Linked DNA regions of Astyanax mexicanus. The protein of the gene in region 1 binds, or shares a complex with, the protein of each later gene. Links are inferred from orthologs where the notes say so. Each region holds a gene or a part of one and is shown in the gene's direction. Other genes may lie near its edges.

Region 1 (3,757 bases):
TAAAAAAAAAACTATACTATCTATAAGATGTTTACTCTATTTTTTAGTGAAAATATAATATAAATAAATAAAAGAAAACATAAAAATTCATTTAAGTGAGAAATACATAGTTTAAATTAAAATGAGTTAATTATATGAATAAATTGATAAATAAATAATCGAGACATTATTTAATTAATTATTTAAACGTGAATATTAAGTGTATTTTATAGTTCTTTATTTGTCATTTTCAGGGATAGTAAGTCATTATTTTGAGATAATAAGATCTGAACATAATGAGATAATATCTATCTATCTAAAAATAATGAATAAGTTCCTTAACTTATTCAAGGACACAGACAGATTCGAGAACTGTTTTTTTATTACACTGCAAGTACATATTTATTTATTTTTATATTGTATATGTTGCACTGTGAGATGAGCTCCTCTAATTTCACTGTACTTGCTATAGTCATAATAAAATGCATTCTTTCATTTATTCATTAACTCGTTCATTTAAAATTATGACTTACTATGTCAAAATACTGAGACAGCAGTTACTTAATAATAATAAAACAAATGTGCTGGATTTATTTTATATTTTAGGTGGCAGGAATGGGAATTCTATTCATAGATATCTTATATATATATACGTATTTGATATCTATGCTTCCATACACTAGAGTCATGTAGAATTGTTAATATTTAACCTCTTTTAATCGATTTAAAAATCATGTCTTCACCCATTGTTTTAGTGGGAATGACTTGTAGATCTGCGAAATTAAAAGTCCTGCGGTTTAACCAGAATATAATATTTTTTTTAATAAAGATTTTTTTCTGTGAGCTTAGATATCTTGCTGAGACCATATAAAAATGACTATTTTTGAGTTACAAACTAAATTTGAGATAAATTAAAATTTAATAAGGTATACAAAAACTGGCAAACAAAACCCCGCCTCTTCCCTCTGTTTCTCTGTATGTGTCTGCGCATGCGTCCGGTGAGAGCGGGGGTGAGGGAGCTCGCCATTTTAGGAGCCTGTGAGGATCTGCAGGCTGGAAATCTTACAAATAATAAACGCTGCAGGTTAATAATGTCCGCAGAAAGCGCCCCGGACCAGGTAAATATTCTGTAAATCTGTTATAAAGCTGCAGAACGGCTTAAATTGCGGGTTAAAGAAGCTGTGCCGTTGCTGGGGCGACCGTTAGTTAGCTTAGCTTAGCATACGAGCTATGGCTAGTTTAGCTAGGCTAGCTGCTGGAATTGACTTGCTTGTTTTTGTCTCTGTTTGAGGTCATTTTTAACATTTTTTAGGCATTAAATCCCGTGTAGGACTTATAAAAAATTCATTTAACTGCATAATGTACGTGTTCTTTGATTGGTCTAGGTAGATATTCAGTTAAATAGTTTGTTTGTTAGCTAGCTGAGTTTGTAGCGAAAGACACGCTGTTTTTGGACTGCTGTGATGCGATTAGGCGATGTTTTGACCATTTAGCTTCTGTTTATTCTGTGGTTTATTTTCTAACTTCAAATGCTATGTACTTAGTACTTATATATGGTTTTGCACTGCCTGGCCAAAGAGTCTTAATGGCGTTCAGGTGGCGGCCAATCAGTATTTTCAGCTACAATTTCCTTAGATGTTTTTTCTGCATTATTGGTGCCAATAAATTGACCCTTCTGAAACATATTAACTTTATTATCTTTTCCACGTGGTTGTTTTAACAAATGAGAAGCTACTCCCTGCATCAGTTAGGATTAAATCCAGTAACTTGTTGCCGTAATTATAGTAATTATAATCCAGTTATTATAATGCAGTAATAATAATCCAATGAGAGTCTTTTACCTATTTGCTCAGTTAAGTCAAGTTTTTTTTTTTGCCAGGCAGTGTGTATATATTTCTGTATTGATAAATGTGCTGTATTTTCTGCTTGACATTGTCTCAAAAACTATTGCAATAAACAGTATTACTGTCATTTTAAGGTCATTTTAATGCCACTGACAGCATGTTAAAGATAGCAAAACAAAATTTGCAATTAATCATAGTATTATACTTATTTTTATTTTATTAAATTACTTCAGTTTATACTGTGTATGGAGTCAAAGTTATTGAAGCATTGGTCTGGTATTGCATGACTGGCTAAAATATTGTTCACTGTTCTATACAATAGAAAACGTACAAATAAACGCAATAGATGATATCACAATTATCAAATATCAGGTTGTGTCCATTATTTTACGATAAGTCGATAATGTAATTATCGTTAGAGGCCTAGCTATATTTAAATACATTTTCCATATTTTTCTGACTTTAAGGCACACTTAAAATTCTTTGATCCGGTGCAGGCCACAAACACATGTTAAGTTAAATGCCTTAAATCAGTGTTACTGAAAAGTGGTCCTGAAGGCTCATAGGCTGCCCTGCACATTTTATTGCTTTCCCTGCTTTAACACACCTTCTTTAGCTAACTTAATTGCATCATTTGTGTTTGAATAAGGTAAAGCTTAGCTCCTTGTCACCTTTAGGACCAAGGTTAAAAAAAATCTGCAGCAAGATGCATTTTATTGCAAATTGTGCCTAAACTCAGTCAGTTTTTAGCTTTTGGGTTGATTTGTAGATTTGCTTTGGCCTCTTATTCAGTTTATAGTGCACTTCTTATCTAGCTAGCTATCTCCTCTTCTGTGTATTGTGCTGTTTGTTTGTTTTTTTTTTTTTTTACAGTGGAACTTAATGATGCTAATGTGTTTTGATCTAGTGTATCAGCTATTATAAGACATTTCTAGATTAATGTGTGTTTTGTTTGTTTGTTTTAATTGGACTTTGATCTGCCTTTAACCCCATTTTAGAGATAAATGTTATCACAGTTATTGCTATATCTTTATATTGTCTATCAAAGAATCTTTGAAAATCTAATTGCATTACCTACCTAAACAATTTAAATGAAGGTATGACTGGGCAATATACAGCTCTGGAAACAGTTAAGCGACCACTTCAGTTTCTGTATCAGTTCCTCTGATTTTGCTATTTATAAAGTAAAATGATAAAAAATGATCATATAGCATTCTTGTTTTATTCTATAAACTACTGACTTTTCTCCCAAACTCCAAATAAAAATATTTTAATTTGGAGCATTTATTTGGAGAAAATTGGTTCAGTTTGGTGGTTTGATGGCCTGTGATCATTCATCTTCCTCTTGATTATATTCCAGAGGTTTTCAATTTGGTAAAATCAAAGAAACTCGTCATTTTTAAGTGCTCTATTATTTTTTTCCAGAGCTAAATATATCTTAAAGATCAGTGTGCTTGAAACTGTCTGGTACAAGATTCATACAAAATGATATTGTTTTCGATGTGTGCAATATAATATTGTGTTAAAATGGTTTGGTTTCTGAAGTGGTGACACTCAATACAGTACAATATTGTGCTAATTGTGTCATAGAAACATCAAAACTAAAGGAGCAGCATTGTTTAATATTAATACATTTTTAAATATCCAGTCTTACAAGTACTTTTAACACTTTGTAACCTTATACTTTAAGTTTTTCACCATATTGTGTATATCACCATTTCTCTTAACAATGTTAAGATAAGAGCTATTTAGTTTTAAGGCCCAGTTTCAGAGGCAAGCTACATGAATATTGAGATTTCCAACAGTGTTTATTGCATCTTTTTTTGTCAGTATCATCCATCACCGAGCTTGTTTGATAACTTATTTAGTCCTGCATTGCTTTGTTCAAGTCCTTGTCTCACTTTGACCTTTGGAAAATGATCCATTATAGAGTG
Region 2 (3,757 bases), on another chromosome or scaffold:
ATAGGTAGAAGTAGTAGTAGTATATTGATATATATTATTTACTCAATATATTATTTACTCGAATCTTTTTTTTTCCAGACGCTGTCAGTGTATTGCCCAAAAGTGCATTGATTTCACCACACTGTTATTATATTATATTATTATTACTAACAACAACAGTAGACATTTGTAGAAAGATAAATATGCGGAAAAAAACTGGTATGTTTAAAATGTGGAAAATTATTTAGAGTTTAGTGCCTCTTTAAATATTATTATAAGGGAATAGATCTTTAAAGGACTTTATGCAACACTTATTTTATATGACGAATATTTATGTATTATTTAAGGGGATTATTAGGGAAATGTGATACTTAAGGAAATTATTTAAGGGGAATTTTATACTTAAGGGATTTTTTTAAGGAAATTAAATACTTAAAAGGATTATTTAAGGGAAATGTAATACTTAAGAAAATTATTTAAGGGAAATTTGAAATTTAGGATAATTATTTAAGAGAAATATAATGCTTAAGAAAATTATTTGAGGGGAATTTTATACTTAAGGGATTTTTGTTTAAAGGAAATTAAATACTTAAGATGATTATTTAAGGGAAATGTAATATTTAAGAAAATTAAGGGAAATATAATACTTAAGAAAATTATTTAAGGAAAATTTGATATTTAGGATAATTATTTAAGGCAAATATGATACTTAAGGGATTTTTTTAAAGAAAATTTGATATTTAGGATAAGTATTTAAGGGAAATATAATACATAAGAAAAGTATTTAAGGGAAATTTGATATTTAGAATTATTTAAGGGAAATTTGATACTTAAGAAAAGTATTTAAGGGAAATTTGATATTTAGGATAATTATTTAAGGGAAATATAATACTTAAGACAATTATTTAAGGGAAATTTGATATTAAGGATAATTATTTAAGGGAAATTTGATACTTAAGGGATTTTTTAAAGGAAATTTGATATTTAGGATAATTATTCAAGGGAAATTTAATACTAAAGAAAATTATTTAAGGGAAATTTGATATTAAGAATAATTATTTAAGGAAAATGCAATATTTAAGACAATTATTTAAAGGAAATTTAATATTTAAAGAAAGATTTAAGGGTTTAATGAGGCTTTCATTAAGAAGCGTTGAAATAACACACTGATTTAAGTTAAGGGCAAGTTTAAGGGAAGGGGACTTTTATTATAGCGGGCGGTTTTTCCCACAGTTCCACAGTGTAAAGCGGTGCGGTACCTGGCGTTAGCTAGCCTGCTGAGGTAAATCATTCATTTTCTTTCTTTATTTTTAAGTTTTAGAGATAAAACTGCTGATAAATAACCACAGGAGGACTGGGACGCAGTTAAACACTTCATAAAACGCTTCGTATAATTGAAATATAATTTTGTAATGCCTGAGGCTGCAGCGTCTGTAGCAGCGAGGCTAACAAGCTAACAGGCTAACAGCAACACAGTAATTAAGGGTTAACTTAGCTTAGCTTCAAGATATTGATGTGTATTTATTATCCCTAGTAAATAGTGGTGGAATTATTAGGAATATTAATATTATTATTTATTAGCTACATCTAGGTAATATTACTGTTTTTAATGCTTAGTAACTAAATTACTAGTAGCTAATTAACACCTGCTAACTAACTACAAACACTGAATAAATACTTAAACTCTTTAAATCACTTATTCTGTTAAATATATAAAGGTCATTTCATACTTTATGTAGTTTAACTAACCTAGCTTTCTCAATAGTTTCATTTAAGAAGCGTTTAGATATACAGCTCTGGAAAAAATGAAGATATCACTTCATTTTCTGAATCAGTTTCTCTGATTTTGCTATTTATAGGTTTATGTTTGAGTAAAATGAACATTGTTGTTTTTTTCTATAAACTACAGACAACATTTCTCCCAAATTCCTAATAAAATATTGACATTTAGAGCATTTATTTACAGAAAATGAGAAATGGCTGAAATTATGTCAAAAAAGATGCAGAGCTTTCAGACCTCAAATAATGCAAAAAAAAAAAAAAGTTCATATTCATAAAGTTTTAAGAGTTCAAAAATCAATTTTTGGTGGAATAAACCTGTTTTTTAAACACAGTTTTGGTTTCATGCATCTTGGCATCATGTTCTCCTCCACCAGTCTTACACACTGCTTTTGGATAACTTTATGCTGCTTTACTCCTCGTGCAAAAATTCAAGCAGTTCAGTTTCATCTAGAGTTTCTTTGATTTTTCCAAATTGAAAAACTCTAGAATATAATAATCATTTTTACGTGGTCTCTTATTTTTTTCCAGAGCTCTATATAACAATGATATAACTAACAATCAGCTAAGCTAAGCTAACCATTAACAGCTGTGTTGCTGTTAGCCTTTTAGCTAGTTAGCTTGTTAGCCTCGCTGCTACAGACGCTGCAGCTTTAGGCTCTAAAAATTAGTATTTATAATTTTAAAAATAAAGCATTTTATGAAGTGTTTAACTTCGTCCTGAGGTTATTTATCAGCAGTTTTATCTCTAAAACCCAAACAATAATGCCTAGCCTAGCTGACTGTTTGCCAGTTTCTTATATTTCTAATATGAATTGATTAAACTGGCATGTATCAAGTGGTTAATAAAACAAACCAGATATATGTCTAAGGTTTCACCAATATAAACATGCTAAATATGTATTAAATATATTAGAAATTGCACTAGAATTTTCATATTTAGTGCATCCTAATGCTACTGTAAGTAATATATGATGTTTTTGTAATGGCACATGTAAAAAATATATTGAAAATATATGTAATTTTGATTTTTGATGTTTTTTTTAGGAAGTTGGAGAGATGTATCGCCCAAAGCCGACACTGAAAGACCGACAGCACCTGTATAAACTGATCATCAGTCAGCTGCTGTATGATGGATACACCAACATCGCCAACAGCCTGATAAACGAAGTGAAACCCCAGAATGTGGTTTCTCCATCAGAGCAGCTCATGCAGCTCGCCAAGATCGGTGAGTCTCAGATTTAAAGAAACCTGTAGGAAACGACCTGTTTTCTGTAAAAGAAGTTTGGTGTACACAGTGTTTTTCTAGTCAATCAATGCATTGTTGAGATTTAAATTAAATATATCCAGAAAAGTGCCGAAACAAAAGTAGGCACAATTACTTTAATTGTTTATGTAAAAAATAAAATGTATGTAATAATAAGAAAATAAGTAAAAAAAAAAATATATTAATATTAATTTTTATATAACCGTATTGAGACAGTTATTAGATGTATGGACACTGAACACAATGTAAGTTTTTGGAATCTCTTTTCACCCAAAAAAAAAGACCTTTATTTTGAAAGAGTTTTCTGCTTTGTTATAATTAATATTCTTATGTGTGGTAATTCAAATAATTAGTTTAGCCTGTTTTTATTAAATTAGTGTAGCTGTAGCCTAAATTCTAGCTTCTATCTTCTTCCCTTGTTGCTGATTGATTATGATGTGATTTGATTACAATTTGATTTATTATGGTGTGATGTTACTGATAATGATGTGATTTATTGCGATGTGATTATGGTGTGATTGATTATGATGCGATCGTTTATGACCTAATGTGGTTGATTATGTTGTGATTTGATTATGGTGTGAGGTAATTACGATTACGATTGATCATGATGTGATTGGTCATGTGGTGATAAGTTATGATGCGATCAATGGTCTGATTAATTATGATGATAATGATGTATGATTATATTTCTAAGGTAACAGGAATGTAGAACAGTGCATTATGGAGTAA

Evidence for each region. Proteins that work in one complex are often made in the same cells at the same time.
Region 2: the proteins of cstf3 (region 1) and cstf1 are in contact, whole or in part, in a crystal structure (PDB 6B3X), measured with the Homo sapiens proteins. The link is inferred for Astyanax mexicanus from reciprocal best matches to the Homo sapiens genes CSTF3 and CSTF1. Residues at the interface, in NP_001317.1 of Homo sapiens: Tyr581, Pro582, Lys583, Pro584, Asp585, Thr586, Gln588, Met589, Ile590, Pro591, Phe592, Pro594; in NP_001028693.1 of Homo sapiens: Arg118, Glu216, Ala217, His226, Pro227, Ser228, Asp230, Phe231, Thr240, Arg242, Leu243, Tyr244, Cys251, Phe252, Val253, Ser254, Cys255, Tyr270, Ser272, Ser273, Ala274, Asn275, Gly291, Val292, Ser293, Asn294.

The regions. Positions count from the first base shown.
Region 1 is NC_064416.1:4,694,195-4,697,951, reverse strand, and holds the start of cstf3 (cleavage stimulation factor subunit 3), read left to right. Parts: upstream 1-970; 5' UTR 971-1,070; coding exon 1,071-1,097; intron 1,098-3,757. UniProt on the Homo sapiens protein: One of the multiple factors required for polyadenylation and 3'-end cleavage of mammalian pre-mRNAs.
Region 2 is NC_064431.1:32,787,567-32,791,323, forward strand, and holds the start of cstf1 (cleavage stimulation factor subunit 1), read left to right. Parts: upstream 1-1,176; 5' UTR 1,177-1,261; intron 1,262-2,805; 5' UTR 2,806-2,817; coding exon 2,818-2,986; intron 2,987-3,757. UniProt on the Homo sapiens protein: One of the multiple factors required for polyadenylation and 3'-end cleavage of mammalian pre-mRNAs. May be responsible for the interaction of CSTF with other factors to form a stable complex on the pre-mRNA.